Drosophila melanogaster: one gene and its partner. Changing the gene in region 2 together with the main gene of any one other region gives a genetic interaction. Each region holds a gene or a part of one and is shown on either strand. Other genes may lie near its edges.

Region 1 (9,071 bases), on a different chromosome or scaffold from region 2:
GATGATCCCTGGTTAAGTTTCCACTTTATCGCATTACACGACTTTCGAGTTAGGTCGCGGCAAAAACTTGACTCCTGCCGATTCTTGGTAAAAGTTTAGTGCAGCTTCCGCGGAATTCGCTCAATTACAGCTGCCAGCGGGCTGTTTAAAAGTTTCTTACGAAAAAACCCCCACCGAAAATCGCTGGGTCGTCATGTTTAACCTTCAGTGGCAGCGTATTGGACCTTGAATCATAAGTTAATTAGAGTCGGAAGCGGGCAGTGAAAGGCAGCCATGGACATGGATACGGATACGGATGTGGCATGTGGGTGGGCAACCGAAAGCCTCGTTCAAGGACTCGCACACACTCGCATCCTTGCGCTCGTATCTGTGTGTGTTTATGTGGCATCTACAGGTAGCCGCAGCAACGACTCCCACAATTCCTCGAGAGCCTGGTTCGCTTTTGTTTCGATTTTCTAACGAAATCGAAACTCTACACTCTGAGAAAAACAATAGGAAGCGAGCGGGAGAGAGAGAGAGAGCGACAGAGCGCGAAAATGGAGGGGGGTTTTTCACTGAAAAGAGAAAGAGTCACATACTGCGCTTCGGAAAATGCATTCTTCATCCCAGTGCAAAGGAGACTGCATCCTTGATGCCGCTGCAAATTGTCAGACAAAGTGTTCTTCGAGTCAAAACTTTCCGCTTACTCAACTCCGCACTCGTTCTCCGCACTTTTCAAAACTTTCCAGCACTCGTTTTGCGTAAATAATTCATGTCGAATATATTTTTAAGCGCACACAGATGGTCACCAACACTAGCGGGGCAGTCGCGTAACCAAAACAATGACACTCGACAGCCGATGGACCGCTTTTCCGGGAGCCCGTTGCGACCAAGGACGAGCACTCGCCTCGACTGTCCTATGGCAACTGAGCTCCGCTGCACTTGGAAGCTCTCTCCTTGCTCCTTGCTTCGCCACCCGCCCCCATTTTCGGCCCTTTTCCATTTCCCATTACCCACCCGGTGACCAAGTTTTCCTCGGGCCGCGTTCGGCTCGGTAACCGATTGCTCGTCCTTGCTGTGGCATGTAGGCCACAACAGAAACGAGCCTCCTTTTTATTGAATTTTTGAGCACACGCAGGACAAGACATCCTGCCCGCCGAGAAAAGCTTTTCCAAGCGGTCGGAAAGGGGTGAAAAGCTGGGCTGGCTGGCAGGTCCGTATGCTAGCGGTAAATTGCAGGGCAACAAAGTTGTAAACAAATCGTTAAAGTGCTGGAAATAACTGGGTTGGTGGTCTGCTGTCAGGCGGAATACATAAACCCTGACAGTTTTGGCCTAAGGAGTGAGTCCTTTTGAGCTTTGTCGAGCTTTTCGCGTGTGAATAACAATATGAGTGTTTGGATAATGACATATCAAATGACCGTTGGAGGGAAACGTAAGAGCTTAAGTAATCATTTCTTATTTTTTATTAACAATATTGTTTAAATATTTTGTTTGCTCGGAAGTCATTTAGTCAAGAGTAAATTGTGCATTCTAACGAAACTGAAACAGGTATATTTATCTATTTATATTTAAATATGCATAAATGCTTATTTTATTTCTGAAGTAAATTAAAAAAAATAGCTGTTCAAATCTATACCGGAAGTAGCATGCGCCACCTAGCGAGTAGCCCACGAAGCTTGTTCAAATGTCCGAAAAGCTCGCCTAATAAATTTGAAATGTAAACAAATGTTGTTGGAAAGCTTGTTGGCAACTCGGGCGGCAGCAACAACTACACAAAAGCAGCGATGTTAGCGGCAGAGAAATTGCAAAGCTTTGTGAGCAACAACAACATGATTTTTGTTTGCTCGCTTTGTTGTTGGTTCTGAGAGCGACAGCTGTTGTAGTGTCCGTGAGAGCGCAGTTTATGTTTGTGTGCGGTGCTGAGTAAGCAACTGTTGTTGTTTCAATGTTCCCTGAGAGTTAGAGCAAAGAAGAAGAAGAAGCGCACAATGGAATTATGATCACTGGAAATTCGCAGGTAAGTTTTCAGGTAAACTATTTGGGTTCCTGTGTTTTATTTTTTTTGTCAGAGTTACAGCGTAAAAAATGTGTATTTTCTATTTGCGACTGTCACCTGTTCACTAACATATTTTGGGGAAAACCAATTATACATGTTAATGGACGTGGAAATAAATAGAAACATTACCATTAGACAGTAATAATAAGCCTGAAGTTATATTCAACATAACAATCAACATACATATGTAAAAATTGTATTGCCCAACAAAAAGATCTTGAACATGATATATCTTTTGAAAATCCATTTGAATCAATCGATTTCGATCAGGATTACCTAGTAGTCCGCTGATCCTTTGAGAGATCCTTTCGGGGTGGGTGACTAGCCTCTAACGACAGGCAACACTCTTGATGCAGTGCAACTATTTTTGTTGGCCTGTGTCCCTTTCCTACCCTCCACAACCGACAACCAACTCATTGTATCTGTATCTTTGCATTTCGTACCGCGCAGTTGCCGTTTCTCCGACTCGAAAACACTCGTCATTCGTGTGCGTGTGCATTGTTTGTCTTATTTGTTGTTCGTTGCCAGCAACAACAATAAAAAGTTCCCTGCTGTTGAGCAGCCAGCTGTGTGTGTTTGTATTGGCGCATTGGTGTGTGTCCGTGTTAGTATCTGTGTGTGTGCGGCGGAGAGTGTGCGTTGTTCTCTGTTTGCTCGCCGTCCACTCGTGTCATGTTGTTGCTGTTGCTTCAGTGTTCTACGTAGCCGATAGATACTGGTTGATACACTGAGGGAATACGTGTTTAATTGGTACTTGTTTGAACCTCATAACTATTAAATTAATACCGCTTACATGGATCATTAATAAAGTCTGCAAATAATTTTATATTTTTCCCTTTAATTAAGTTTGGGGCTAATAATACATTACCAATTTAAAACATCTTTATATTACATTTCACAATTGCCAAGTGACAACTCTATTTCTCTCAGTGCACCGCTCGCTCTCGCAGGGCAGCAGTCGCATTTGTGGCTGTGTCTGTGTGTTTTTCTCTGTGTGCTTAGTCGCCTTGGTCGCTTGGTACGCGAAACATACGACATTGCCAACAATCCAACAGTCCGCCGCCGATTCCCGAGCGCCGTGCACCGTCGACTCGACCGCGAGTTTTCGAATTCAACATTTTTGAACGTTACGTCAGTCGTCGGTCGCTGCAGCAGCAGCAGCAACAAAAATATTTTTGGCGCCGTTTTATTTGTGTGCCGTGCATCGTGTCGTTTTGAAATCGCTGCGAGCAAGGAGTTGTTGCGTTTTGAAATCGCCTCTGCAACAGGAGTTTTTCTGTAATCCAACGACGAATACCAACCAAAAGGTAATGAATTCTTTGCTTGGAACAACATCACAAGTTAGGAACAACAGCAACAATAACAGCCTGATAAGCAGCAGAAAGAAAAATTCTATATGCCATATTGTTTCCTTGTGTGCGATTGCCTGTGAATGTGTGTGTGTATTGTGTGTATTGTTGTTGTTGTTGTTGTCTATCTAACAAAGTTATTGCGATTGTTGTTGTTGCTGTCATTGGGCCACGGAATATACAATATACTGTATGTATTTTTGTTGGTGGAGGGAAACAAAGAGCGGGCCGGGTATTTCTGCAAGTTTTCTGTGTTTTGTTAGCTTTAGAAATAAATTCTTTTTTTTTGTTGTTGTTTTTGTTTTCCGTTGGGTTTTGTGTTTGGCTGTTGCTGATTCTGTGTTTTTCGATTTGTACGTTGCTGTACTTTTTGCTGAGCCCCGTTGTTAATAGATAAACATGAACATTTCTCAAGGAATTAGTACGCGCTCATGCTGATATGTTTATGTTAAATAGACGTAATACAATAAATATTGCCATATAGCCCAGGTTAGTTGTTTTTCTGCCCCTTCCAGTCGCCATTCCCATTCCATTCCATTTTCCCCCCGCCCACACCGCACACAGCAATCCAACAATAACATTAACAAAAACAACAACGGGCAGAGCCAAAACACGCGAGCAACGTTCGCCTTGATAATGATGTTCGCTGATAATAATGATGACTGGCCAAAGAACACAACAATGCTGCCAGCGCACAGTGGGACCAAAGTGTTACGAAAATGGAAAGCAATATTAATTTTTTGTTTGGTTCAGCTTAGAGTGCTAGAGTTTTCTCTTGCTACTTTTTTATGTCCGAAAAAATAGAAAACTTATTGGACTCTGAACCTGATATTAAGATTAATAGTTGAAGGGAATTATTACCTACGATTTTCCAGAGATTTACTTACAGATGTCCAAAAAATATATATATACATATAAAATACCATCTAATAGGTTTCCAAGCAATGTGGAAATTGTTATTATATTTTTCCTTGATATACTTTTGGTAATGCCCTTTTTCGATTACTTCCATCCCACTGTGCGCACGTTTTTCGCTTTGCAAAACTGGTGGGCCCAAAAGGTGCTGAAAGTGGCGGGAAAACTGTCGGAGATTTAAGAGCGGCCCAAGTGTCGCCGCGATAGAAAGGGGCTGACGGCAAAAGGGTAGGCAGTCGAGTGAATGGACAGGTGGAGTGGGCTGATTAGAATCGAAACAGGTAGTCGCAGGTGCGAGAGCGAATCGTTTGCAAGTAGTGAGCAGTGAGTGCGGTGGGTACTCGCACACATATTCGTGACTATTCAGCGGATTTGGTTTTGGCCAACATGTTTTCGGATATTGCAACACAACATTGCTTGCTGCACTGAATTGCTGCTGCTGCAGCAGAGTGTTGCTGTTGTTGCTGAAGCATTCTGTTGTTGTTGTTACTGTTGTTTTGTTGCTGCTGCTTTAGTTGTGCTGTTGTTGCTGTTATCAGTGAAGCAGACAAAAGCTTTCAGCTTTCGACGCCAGCAGCAACAGCAACAGAAACAAACGGCAACAAAAACACAAACAAGCAGCACAAACAGCCAGATTGCCTGTTATTTTTATGGCCGCTGCCATTGTCGCTGCTGTGGCTATAATAATATGAAAAGTAAACAAAGTTGCTGGCTGTCGTCGTTTCGCCGCCGAGTTGTCAACATCAACGCAACGCAATGCTTTCCTATCCTATCCAGCTAGCCAAACTGTACTGAATATAATGGCAACTACAGCTACAACTACAACTACAACGACAACAACGGCCACGGCTACAACAATGTTTTATTAAGTTTCACGAAATATATATGAGCGAAAAGCTCTATGCCTCGTTTGCTGAGACAGCAGCAACAGACAGCGGAACAGAACTGAACAGAACACAACTGAACCGAACTGAACAGAAACCAACACACAAACAAATAACACGACAAAACGAAAAGAAACCGAACACAAAACCCCAGCAGAAAAGGCAAAAAAGCTGAAAAAGAGTCGTTGAGAATTCTGTTTGTTTGCCAGCTCAAAAATAAATAGGATTGTATATAAATACATATGTATGTATGGTACATACATACATCGATAGGAAAGTCTAAAAATCAAATATTGGAGTGGCTAACTTAACTTGAAGTTGCCATTTCTTGAGATCATAACGTGCAACATGACAGCAAACCCGTTCAAACCCCTGGTAATCGCTGTTTATTTTAACATTTCTCTAAATAGACTTCAAATTTAAAACGTATCTTTTAGTGGCTCTGTGAGGGACGATACCGCCAACGAATATGACCACCTCAACCCGCAGCAGCAGCAACAACCACAGCAGCGAGCACGAGGAGCGAACCTCCAACGGCACCACCGCCTACAACCACCACAGTCCAACGGGTTCGGGATCCGGAACAGCAGGCGCCTCTATTGGATCCACCAACCGAGTGATGCAGGCGGACGAGGACTTCAACATCCGCTTCGTCAACCTGGTGCGCACCCACAAGTGTCTCTACGACAAGAAGGTGCCCGAGTACCGCAACAGGTGAGTGGCGAGTCCATCGGCTGCCAGAAGATACGATCCAGATCGTTCCGTACGTTCAGTCTTAACTAATTTAAATAACTTTTTACAGGGATAATCAGGAAAAGGCTTGGGTGCTTATTTCAAAGGAGACAAGAGAAAGCGGTAAGCAATAATAGGAAAAACATTAATCCCTTAAATTAATCAGAACTTTCATAATCTTTAGTGATCCATTGCAAGGAGCGATGGCGAAACCTTCGGGCCTGCCTATCCCGCTACATAAAGCAGCAATCCGGATCGGAGCCGCAGCACAAGCCATACTACCTGACCGAGCACATGGCGTTCCTGCTGCCCTTCCTGAAGTCCAGCCGTAACTCTTTGGAGGGGAACAACAGTCTGGCCACTCTGTACCAGATGTCCCAGCAGCATTTGCAGCATCAACCATTTCTCCTGCATCCAGCACTCCATGCGACCGAGGAGCACAAGTACTGCGCCAACACTAGCATCAATAATAATAATAATAACAACGACGTCCATAATGGTGAGAGTATGGAGGTCTTGGAGATGAAGTACTCGATATCGGAGAAGGACGATGAGGAGACCATCGACGCCTTTGATCCCGCGGTTACCAACACCCTGGGTATGAATCGTACTTCGTCCACGCCCACTCGCAGTTCTGCCCTTCAAGGAGGCGGAGGCAATTCACCGGCCAGAAGCGATACCGCTAGTGCGGATAGCATGAAAAACTTCATTCCAGATGTGCAGCTGGCCGAGACGGGCTCGCAACTCATCTACAGCGATGGTGGACATGGCACACCACCGCCTCTGCACTACCATCCGCACTCGCATCCACATCCTTTGACATTGTCCATGGATCATCACCCAGCATCCTACGAACCGGGGAGCACGAAAAGAATCAAGACGGAATGCGAGGCCACCAGCACGATGACGAATGCAGGAAGTATTTACGGCGGACTGAGTTCGTCGGAAGTGGCGGACATGGAGTTCTTCCGCAGCATTCTCCCAGATCTGGCGACTCTCACTCCACAGCAACGTCGCAAGTTCAAGATTGGCATTCTGGAGCTAATTGACGACGTTGTAACCCGATATCCCGCCCAGGATCACAGCAACGGAGGAGGCGTATCTGGCGTAGTCAACGGAAGTGGCGGTAGCAGCAATGGGGGATCTGTTAAGCATCAAAGGCGCAGCTCTGGACGCGATTGGAGGAAACAATAAAGGAATAGAAAGTGTATCGGAAAGTCACTAATCCTTAACTAGGGATAGGATAAGTTTAGTTAGAAGCTTAAGGGGGATCTGAAGCTGGAATGGGTACTAATTCGAATCTGAGCTACTTCAGTCCGCTCACTGTTAATGTGTTGTGTCTACTCAATAAGATGGGTATGTTTTCAAAGGCCTTCAATTCTTTCAAGTCCGCGAATTGTTTCGATTTTGACCAACCATTATGAATGGTCCATTTACAAAGAGCTGCAAGAACTTGCATGACCAAATATATACATATATATATGAACAACTAATATATACATTTAAAGCTATTCCGAAATCGAACACATTCAACGAACAAGAAGTAATGAGGTCTCCTTATAAGCCATTTAGTTCTGACGTAGCAGTTAAGGAATTGTGAAAATAGATTTCAAGATTTTAGAAAATGGCTGCTTCGAAAATATGTTAGTTTAAGGACACTGTATATACGCTGCTATTGAAACCTAAACTATAGAATCTGTGTACAAATGAATTTCCGTTTGAGTAAACAAAGAGGGATAAAGAGATAGATCGATATCAAACTGCTGTGTGTAATAATAAACAAATGAAAGTATGGAAAATTACACGGTAAACTTTAATTTAATTGTCGACAACTTCAACAGAGGGCTTTTTATTGGGCCTTGCCCCATTTTTTAGGCAGCGATGGACCACAATAGGTTTCCTTTCTGAGAGAAATGCACAAGGACACGACTTATCTTCGCACTAAAAGCTAAATTTCGTTAGCGGCTCTACGGAGGCTGGGATCGGATTGGATCGGATCTACAACTTCGAGGAGCCAGTCTTGGGGTAGAACTTCTTCGACGGGTCCTTAGCCATGTCGAGCAGGGTCTGAGCGGGCTTGAAGGGAGCTCCGTACAGCTCAGCATAGGATTGCATCTTGCTGACCAGTTTGCCGGCTCCATACTGATCGACCCAGCGGAAGGGACCACCGGAGAATGGCGGGAAGCCCAGGCCGAACACGGCTCCGACATCGCCCTCCAGCGGACTGTCCAGAATCTTCTCCTCCAGACAGAGCACGGCTTCGTTGATGAAGCGGGATACCATACGCAGCGTCAGATCCTCGGGGGCATTGGCTCCCTTTGAGACTAAAGCGTACTTTTGTTTCACGATTTCGAGAGCATCGTTGTTCACTGGACGAGTGCCCCTCTTCTGGCCATCGTACAGGAAGATACCCTTGCCGGACTTGCGTCCGAGGAAACCAGCCAGGACCAGATCATTCATTACTTCCAAGTTTCCACCGCTGAAACGTTCGCCGAATGCCTTTGCCAAGTCGACGGCAATGTGGGAACCCACGTCAATGCCAACCTCATCCGCAAGGGTCGCAGCACCCACGGGGAAGCCAAACTTCTTCGTGTATTGGTCCAGATCCTTGGGGTCCACGCCTTCCTGCAGCAGTCTGACATAAAATATGGGAGTATAATAAACAATTTCACTAGTCATCTTAAAATGCAAACCTACCTGATGGCTTCCGACAGCATGGTGGAGAGGATGCGGGTGGTATAGAAGCCAGGTCCGTCACCAACAGTGATAACGACCTTGCCTTGCTTGAGACCGACGGCCACGGCCTGTGCGATGGTGTCCTTGGAGGTTCCTGGGTGAGTGATGATTTCCAGCAGCTGCATCTTGTCCACGGGCGAGAAGTAGTGCATGCCAACAACCTTCTCGGGACGCGAGCTTCCAGCAGCAATCTTGGTGATGGGAATGGCGCTGGTGTTGGTGGCAATGACGCAGTGCTCTGGAACCACTGCTTCCAGCTCCTTGATCACTCGATGCTTAACCTTGATGTCCTCGAAAACAGCTTCGATGATGATGTCTGCGTTCTTGAAGTCGCTGTAATCAAGAGTGGGCCGCAGACTGGCAAGAGTCTGATCGCGCTCCAGTGCAGAGATTCGCTTGCGCTTCACAGCCGTCTCCA
Region 2 (10,048 bases):
TTACCCCTTAACCGGTCTAACCTTGGGGGTCTTGCCAATTCGATGGATCAATGCTGCGAGCGATTTGTTTTGCATTTAAACGAACCTTTAATTGTATGCCTAATTTGATAGATATTTAATTTAAAGTGCAATTGTTTAAACCCTTACAACGTTTTCATGCCCTGCTTACCTACCTATAACTGATCGATGATTGTACATATTACTAATCGAGACTAATTTACGTATTTAAACCTTTAATCAAATTGAAGCCAGCTATCGGGCAGCCCTATTTCCTTATACACAACTTATTATTCAAAAAAACATAACGAAAAAAAAAACAATTATATTTTATGCCATAAATTATACGGGAACGTTATACATGTATATTATTTTAATAATTATTATTTTATTTAAAGAACAACAAAAACAATGTTTACGTATACAAAAGTATTTGCTAAAAATAAACATACAACATATATGAAATTAACCTGAATGTAATTTTTTTAAATTGTCTGGATTGTTTTAATTTCCTTCACAAAAAAATTTTAGTTTTCACAAAAAAGTCTAGTTTTAAATTTAGAAAAATTTATTTATTTAGTTTCAACTTCACATTTTTCTGTTTATACATTATGGGAACATTTCTAAAAACAACTTAAAATGTTATTTGTCCTATGTACTGTACATAAATTTGATATCAGTGTATTAAAGCTGTTCAATGAGCAGTTCGCAAGCTACAAATCTTTGGATGCCTTGGACACCAGCTTTGGCAGCTGCAGCATAAGTCCCATGTGCTGTAGTGGATTCGCCGAGGAGAGACTCGAGGTAGTGGATAGCGTTCCATTGACATTCTCCCTGGGATGCGGCTGCGCTGGGTGGGTTGATGAGGCTGACTGCTCGGAATGGAATATCTCGCCAAGCAGGTCGTACACACGTCGCTTGAAGTACAGCTTCTGGTGGAAGTTCATGTGCTTGATTTCGGGACGCAGTCCCTGCAGGAATGCGTCATCGAAATCCATGATTGGCAATGCTTCAATACAGCGGGTTGATGTCTGAAATAAGAAAATAACAAATCATAAATAAACGCTGTACAAATTAAATTTTGCACTTAATAGATTGTTACTTTGGGGAATTCAAGCAATGGCACTCTATATAAAGTAATTTCTCCCACCTTGGCCTCCTTCTCACTGCTGTCGCTCTCTGTGCGCATTTCTGCCGGGACCGTGTCCTCGAAATCCATGATTGATGATGGTTCATTATTAAATTGTGTTGCCTGAAGAATTAAAGGAAACTGCATCATTAAAATTATAAATGCAAATTTCAGCTTTGAAATAAAAACGGGCACACAGTATAAAACTAAGCTAATTTGCACAGCTTTAACTTTTGACCAAAAATATAGCATACATCATTTTTTTACTTTAAAGTATAGTTCATAACGCTAAACAAGGTTGTAATAATTTAAGGCCTCAGCAAAATGCATCTGAGTATTGCTCCCACCTCAACGTCCGTCGCCGATGCAGGGTCGGTGCTGTGACGGCTCTGCGCATGCTCCGAATTCAGAAAGCTCGGGGAGTGCACCATCTCGAGGATTGCCTCTACGGGAGTTTCGGGATCCCCTTCGTCGTGCTCCTCCTGTCCCTTGGGTCTTGACCTACGACCTCTGAGCGGAACGGGCACTCCGGGAGTGATGTGCTTTTGCAGGAACTTCAGCTCGCTGTTAAGATAGTACGTATTCGCACCGTGATGCAACTTTATTGAGCGGGCATAGCTGGAGCGAATGTTGCGCCAACGTTCCTTGCAGCTTTTAACTGAAATGATCAATAGCAGTCAATAAGATTGTAAGATAATATTATATAATATTTATATAATATAAATTGTAAGATTTTATAAGAGATTATATTTTATTTTATATTATGTATCGACATAGTAAAATCGTGCTTATAAAAATATAAACATCTCCTAATGAAATGTAAATTTAATAATTAAAGTAAATTTAGTTAATATGCAATATGTCGAAATATAGATAAAAACCCACCCGAATTTCGCATCTCATTGGATATTTCCTTCCACGCATTTTTCACAGTCGATTTCCGCAAGTAGTTGTCATCGTGACGATCGTAAAGACAAGGATGTAGTTTCACCAAATGACATATTTTGGCATTGATGGCGTAAACGTTCGGTGGTGGAGCTATGGACCGACGGCGTGTATTCATTTCATATATAAAAACTAAATATGCAAATTTAATTAATTAATATAATTAATAGAGTTAAAGTAGAAGACCCGAAATCGAATCTGAAACATGTGTCGCCTGACCGTGCAACAGCTGTTTGCCGCTACTTTGCTTCTCTGCTCCGCTTTCAACAACAGTTATTTTCTCTGAAACCAGATCTTTCGTTTAAACTTACGTGAATTAGGTTTAAAAATGCTCCAATTAATCGATGTCAGTGCTTTTATCACGAGTTTTGGCTTATTAAGTTCGGGCTCAAGCCGCTCGTTGCTTCCGTGCACGCGGCAGTTGTTGGCGTGGACGCCGGAGTTGCTGCTATTACAAGTGTTTAGCAACTTTGAACACTGCGATTTCGTGCTGCTGCCAACAAGTGATGCAGTTGTAAATGAATGTTGCAATTTCAAATAGCAATTGTTCTTGATTTTAAAGCACATGAGCACTAGACTGATTCGAATTGGACATTTGAATCTTTAACGGGCGGAGAATATAAAACACCGGCAAAATAAATAAAGAAAGGAGCCACAACAAACGGAAAGCCAGAGGCGTAGTCATTCTCTTCGCAAATCAGCGGGGGTTACCATTCGAGCAGCATACAACCCTCTCTGAGAGAGAATTGACATGCCACTGGATCTCACACATACAATGAAAGGCACACTCACTCAAAGTAGACAGCACTGCCAGACTTAATGCAATAGTATAGCAGTTGGTGTTGGCAGTGCCATTTGATCGCTGGAGGTGCTGCCAACGCATTTACCAATTAATTAATGACCACCCCTAAATGTTGTAAATTATAAAAATTATTCAAGAATATTACGATTTTGGTTAAATTAATGTACAAAATAAAATATTTCATATTTGTATTGGCTGTCAAATGAAGTTATTTTATTTTAAGATAAATGCTAACAAATCTTAGAGAAACTGGAAAACAAGGTTGAGCGGTTTTGAGAATTATGAACAACGCGTAAAAAACATTATTTATAAACGTAAAAAAATATTATAGTCTAGCCCGACAGGTAAAAAATAAATTTATCCGGGGCCACCTTGGTCAACCCTCGTCAACGACCGTTCGGCCTGCCAACTCGCTTTTCCCTGCAACGCAAGGCGCCGCTCTCTGCTCACACTCTCACTTGGCTGTGTGTGTGTGCTCAATACTCGCTTTTAGTTTTCGCTGCAGTCGGTCGCCGTTTTTAGTCTCAGCTGCTGCGCGCGTGTGTTGTGATTGTGTGAATTGCGTTTGCGTTTGTAGCATAACACAAAACCGATAAATTCCTGGCGAAGCGAGCTCTCTCGATTGGATTCTTGCAAAGTGAACTAGCGATGAGCGCCGCCTCTGAGGTGAACCTGATGTTGCTGCGGTCAGTGGAGAAGCAGACTGCGCTTTATGATCGTACCGACGAAAACTATAGGAAGCGCCTGCCGAGTGAGAACGCCTGGGACATGGTTGCCTCCGAAGTTGGAGAGTCGGGTGAGTCGTGAGTGCGAGCGGGATAGCAATCGACGTTGCGTAGTTTTCTGCCAGTGCTGCACAGCGTCAACGCGCGCACAACAGTCAGTCGTCCCCGAATTATCGGCCGTCGATAGTTGTGTGCGAGTTGGCAGCGCCATGTATGCCATCACAAAGCAGCTGGCATCGATTAATTCGAATATAACGAGTCTCCTGTTGAATGCGTAGTCGTTTGGGATGAAATTGCTTCTTGCTGTGACATAATTTTTGTAAATAGCTGGAAAGTAATTTATATTAGTTATTTGGCAACTGCAATAATTGCATGGTAAAAACTAAACAAAGTTATTTCGTTTGTTGTTATTATTATTTTTTTAATTTAACATTTTATAATTTATAATTCTCCAACAAGCTTGTTATTTCATATTAAAAAAATGTCTTATTTGAATATTACATTATTTTAGAAGGATTTAAAAATAAATAAATTAAATACAGAAAAACCAAAATATGACAAATAATAATATCTAGTCTATTCAGTAGCCAAATCCATTTCATTTAATTCTTATTAGCTTTATAAATTTTTTTTAAATGATTTGAATCCTTCTGCACGTTTTGGTAACACTGGTAACACTAATCGCCCATTAGCTGAGTAAAATTTAACCTTAGAAAATTGGTATATTGTATTATATTGGTATATTATGAGTGGGTAGTTCCATTTATCCATGCATCTCTGATTTTGTTGTCGGTGTATATCGATTGACCCATATATATTTCCCTGGAAAGATCTTTTGGCCAAACTTTTCGAGCAGTACAATATAAGTTGGCTCTTTTTCATTTGAGAACTGAAAAAATATTGCCAATGATGGGGGACTTCTTATTCGAGAATTCTTGCTGTAAGTTTTATTTATATATCGCAAAAGAAAGAAAAATCCTTTTTAGTGTACATATGTACATACACACGTGCATGTACATATTTAAGTATGATTCTCAATTTGATTGCGATTATTTCCACGTGGTTTCTGACACCTTTTACTAAACTTTACACGATTCCTTAACACAACTATTTTTTAAGTAATGTGTTTGGATATCAGATAAAGGGTGTTTCAGCAATGTCTACAGGTTTTGTTAACTAACAAATTAAAACGTATCTTAGAAGTTTGGGCGTCGGAAACCTGCACGCCTTATAAATATGTATGATATGTACATCCATGTACGTTCCCATGTATGTATGTCGGAAATCTGCATATATATATATTTATATAAATATATATGGTCATGTATGGTCATGCAGATAAATGGACGCTTCTAATTTGTATACCCCTTACTCGTAGATTTAAAGGGTATACGTTGGAAGGGATTCGTTGCAAAGTATGTATGCAACTGGTATGAAGGTCGATCTCAGGAACTATAGAAACAAAAAGGTTCAAATTAAACATATAGATTAAAGGGACTTAGACGCAGCGAAAGTTTGTTTTTTCATAATTTTTAATTAGTTTTGTAAATTTATATTGACTTTTTGAACAGTTTTTTTAAAATTTTCTCATTTGACTCCCCAATATCTATCTATATGCCATATCTATATGCATTATAAAGCTTCCCACTTCCATTATTCATTCTCTTATTATTTGTTTTTGTGGTGATTTATTGCACTGTAAATTAATTTTTTGCAAAAATGCTTTGTCTTAAAAATATAAAGTAATTTCCTACAATTTTTCTTGTATATGTTATAGCTGATATTATTTTATCACTTTAAAAAATTGTTATGTTTGGCTAGAAAAAAGCTTATTTTTTATGACCCGATTTTTATTTGAACTATCCTTATGCAAGGACAAGAATTGAAATGGCACCGAACACAAAATTTCATGTGTCAGTTTTGTCAGATTTTGGCCGCGGTAATTGAAAATAACCTTCCGCAGCGTAGTTAGTTACATACTGTTACAAACCATATTAATCGGCGAGTATAAAGGCAGATAACTAAGAAGCAGTTTTGGCACGTAGAAGCTAAGAATTTCTTGTCTATTACTCCAAATCAATTTTGCCACTTCCTCCAATGGAAAGAGCCATACGAATTTGATCAATTAAAAAATAATATGGAAATATCTAATACCGAAGACCATATTTAGACCATTAAGACCATTAATTAGCTAATCATTTTCCGACTGTTGGTATTGAAAATATAGTTTTTCGATTTTAATAAATGTAATCCAAAATTTATATATATTTCCAAGATCTAGTGTATTCTTATTAAAAACAAGTAATGTGCCATCCGGGTTGTAGGACCCGTGATTCAGGGTTCGCGGTGCGTACTGGATGCCCCGATTTTGTGACTAGCAGTTACACACTGCAGTGCTTTTATTTTTATTTTTAAAAATTTACATACATGTATAGCTTAATTATTAAATACTGCTACCTTCAGGCAGCTAAAAAATTATATATAAACTGCAGTGCATGTACTCGCCACCGAATACTCATTTATACTCATTTAGATATTCATACATAGCATACTTTCAAGCGAAACTTGCATTTACGGAACCATGTACAATGTTGGTTTTTTGAAATTAAAAATAATTTAACTAGTGTCTCTTCCCATTATTAATAAGCATTCCTGAGCTCTTATTACCTGTTCATGTAAAATGCACACAAAGTTTTATGAGCTAAGATTAAAGTGGAATTTTCCGGGCAATCAGGGGGTGTTATGCTATTGAGAAGTAAAGGTTGGGCCGCTACCTGTTGCCTGATATATATTACGTATCATATCTTCTTACCTAGCCTTATCATTTCCCTCTTGTTCCCTCTTGCAGTGGAAAAATGCAAGCGACGCTGGCGTCAGCTGCGAAATGACTATACCCGCTGGTGCAACGCCGACGCCAACCGGCGACGAAATGGCCAGCGTCGTTTGGCTTATCCGCTGGCCGATGAGCTGCGCTTTTTGGACCGCCATCTAAACATAGCTGACGACATGGCTGCCGACGATGACCGCAGCGTATCATCGGACAAGGACAGGGATAACAATAGAGACAGCGAGGGCGTGGATCATCATGCTCAGGCGTCATTAAAAGAACGCGCATCATCGACAAGCAAGTTAGTTAAGGAGGTCAAGCTGGCAAGTCAAGTTCGTAAGGAAAAATCGTCCCAAGACAAGAGAGAAAATTGGGAAAATCCTGGAGATAAACAGCGATCTAGGAAGAAAAGTGCTGAAGAGAAGCTGAATGATTTGGAGGAATCGGACGAACCAGAGAAGGTTCCTGAACTCGATAGTTTTCTGCAGTCTGATAATGAAGACGACGAGTGCATGGACGAGGAGCACCTAGAAGATCTGGAAGGTTTCGATTTTGACTTGGAACAATCGAATCAGGAAAAGGAGTTAACGCCGGAGAAGTCTCTAGAGAAGAATAACACCGACTCAACTGTTAGCCAGCCGGAGTTCTTTGTCAAGCAAACCAGAGATCCTCGTTTGCTAATTATTGGCAGAAAGAATTCGACGTCTTCGTTTGCTGAATCCAAGGCTTCAAAATCTATTTCCGGGGATCCTCTGGAAACGGCTATGGAAGATAGTGGCGATGAATATGGTAGGGATGGTGAAAAACGCGTCACAGGCAGCGACACTACTTCTCCAACCCGACGTCCACGTCGCGCAGCCCGTGCATCAATAAGTTTCGCTGGCATAAGGGATTTACCGATCCAGAAACCAGGCCAAGCACAACGAATGACGCGATTGCAGCGCAGGAAATCTATGAGTTTAGCGGCTGTACACAGTGTAAGGAGCTCCACATCGCCTGTGAAAATGACTCCAGTCCCCAGGTCTCAGCCGATCAACAAGCCGCCATCCGGGCCAGTCCAGATCACGAAAATCAGTCATCGGGATGACATCTTCCCGAGACCTGCGGTGCCATCTGGAGTTGTGAATATAAATCAAAACCAACTCAAGACTCAACAACAGCAGAAGACGCTGATCTTTCCGACGACCGATGAAGCGATCGCTAACCCGCAGGGATCTGGTCCACCACAAAGGAGGTCCGTGGGTAGGCCGCCCAAGAAGCTACCTATGGTGCAGCGAATAGTTGCGCCGGAAACGCAGACCAAGCCACAGTCGCCCATAAACACCAAAGTCCTGACCATTGGCAAGCCCACCAGCTCCGTCGCGAGTGGTAACATAAATAATATTGCTATCAAAAGCAACGTCGTTACTAGCATAAGCAGCAGCACCGCTACTACTAATACCATTACCAAAGGTACCAGTAACAACAGCATCAAAACTACTGAAAACGTTAATGTAATAAGCTACAGTCCGAATTCATCTAGCACCAGCAGCAGCAGCAAGGCCACCACTGGTGCCTCTGGTGCGGTGATAACTAATATACCCACAACCACCACAGCTGGAACATCCGTTCCGGTCGGAAAGAGTATAACCCAATTGAAAATGACTGAGCGAGGCACTCAAACCGGAGTCCAGAATCCTTTCTCCGATAATTACTTTCTCGAAATGATCAAGCCCCAGATGCAGGAAATGAACCCCCGTCAGAAGATGCACTTTAAGAAGAAAGTATTCCAAGCGCTGATGGAAACCTTTGATGATGCTACCGATTTCCCAACGTCTAAAGAACTGCAGCATTTTAATATAAACACTCCTTCAGGATTTGAGCACATTACAGATCCGGAACTTCGATTGGTCAGGGAGCTAGTCAGCATGGTGAGCGCGGCTAAGGTTACCCTAATTAGACCGCCAGGAGAAGCTACAGCTATAGCTACAGCTTCCCGCAGTGGAATTGCTCCTGAGGTACAGCGAGGACCCCGAACAAATATGACACGCCAAGTCATTCAGAGGGTATACAAGCCAGGCACTGGACAAGAGATCGCCCCCACCAGCCCGGCGGGTGGACTAGATAAGAGGTTGTTCAGGTTAGCGGCTATGGGTGGTAAACCGAATGGCAACTTGAGTGCCACTCAGGAAATTTTGCGCAAGGATAGTGTTGACAGTAACCATAGTGTGGTCAAGGTGGCCAACCACGCCCCAACAGGCAGTCCCAAAGGAGCTGCTGTAGTGGCTGCTATAAGGCCGCAGGGTTCATTGATCAACAGTTTCTTTGGACAAGGCAATGGACCGACGACGGCCAAGGGAGCTGCCTCCGAGAATATCCGCGCCATGTCCAGGAGGTATTCCGTGTGCGGTAGCAGCAATCCACCCAATGCCCAAAACGCTAGCCAAGGTTCCGCCAATGGCAGCACCATAAACTCCAATGCTAGCGCTATGGAAGCGTCTATGCTTAAGCGGCGATTGATAGCAGCTGGGCATGGAATGGTGCCACCTACCCAACGCCCTCGGTATTCTGCCGTAGGTGCTAGTCAAATGACCACTGCATCGCAAGGCAGCAGTTTACTAGTGAGGAAGTCTGTGGGCTGCGTTCCTGCTTACCAAAAGCAAATCTCACCCACTGGCGGTGCCTCCCTGCTTCAGAAAACTCCGCAGATTGCCAGTGTGCAAGGATCTGCCTTCAATGACTTTGCCCAGCCCAAGCCCGCTGCAACGGCCTCTGTAAACGGCGAAGAAAGTTCGCCTACCTCGGCGCTGAAGCGCAGCTTGGTGGTGGCTAATACCAAAACCTCCTTTCAGGACCTTCTTCAGCAGGCCAGTCAGACGGTGCAGAGAAATAAAATTGAATCCTCGGAGACAGCAGCCACTATTGCTGCGGATGATTTTTCGCTGGACAACCTTAAGCGAGAGCCAGTGGATCCCGCGGAGGATCACAATGACATACTCGGTGTTTAAGACCAGGCCAAAGAAATTTCCGAGTATTGATTAAAGAGTAAAGAATTAAGACAGATTCATTAAATCGTAAATAACACGTTGAAAAATTGTTAAGCTATCTAATGCACTTATAATGTTGCGTTAAACATTTTTTATAGTTCCCTATAATTTTAAGAATTTCGAATTTTTTTTTTTTGGAAAAAGTTTTTAACTTTTTCTATTTTGTTCATAATTTTTTAGACGATAGAAAACCGACAGTTTTGTTCAAAATTTGCACAAGAAAAATGATTAATGAGAAATCGAATCTTAACTTTATTTCACATTTTCTAGTTATATATATCGAATAAAAATTGCCCTTATAAGTTAAACAAAAAGGACAACTGAAAAAATATTTAAATATGTTTTTATGGAAATATATTTCTATACATAGTTAGGTCAAAGTCACTAGAATATTATTCTAATGTCTTTGGTTAGGTAGTGAAATATATTGCAGTACATTTATGCGAAACAACCATCACGAAAATTTGAAAATTAGTTTGGTTGGTGAACCAAACTGGAGGGTGGGTGCTCCAGACGTTGTTCTAGCAGAGACATAAGTAAAATTATGAAAATTAATTAATTCTAATAATTATGACAATATCTTTGGTTCGGGTACCG

The links. A genetic interaction does not mean that the proteins touch.
Region 1: of stwl (region 2) and brwl, changing one suppresses a phenotype caused by changing the other (phenotypic suppression), as found in Drosophila melanogaster (one study listed by BioGRID).

The regions. Positions count from the first base shown.
Region 1 is NT_033779.5:9,565,855-9,574,925, forward strand, and holds brwl (brickwall), read left to right. Parts: upstream 1-3,035; 5' UTR 3,036-3,344; intron 3,345-4,416; exon of another isoform or gene 4,417-5,560; intron 5,561-5,622; 5' UTR 5,623-5,654; coding exon 5,655-5,899; intron 5,900-5,987; coding exon 5,988-6,040; intron 6,041-6,101; coding exon 6,102-7,111; 3' UTR 7,112-7,718; downstream 7,719-9,071. Other genes in the region: Mtpalpha (mitochondrial trifunctional protein alpha subunit), read right to left, coding at 7,916-8,552, 8,615-9,071.
Region 2 is NT_037436.4:14,403,236-14,413,283, reverse strand, and holds the start of stwl (stonewall), read left to right. Parts: upstream 1-3,344; 5' UTR 3,345-3,521; coding exon 3,522-3,669; intron 3,670-4,437; exon of another isoform or gene 4,438-4,504; coding exon of another isoform or gene 4,505-4,538; intron 4,539-6,446; coding exon 6,447-9,412; 3' UTR 9,413-10,048. Other genes in the region: CG3919 (uncharacterized protein), read right to left, coding at 711-1,028, 1,100-1,249, 1,474-1,784, 2,012-2,189.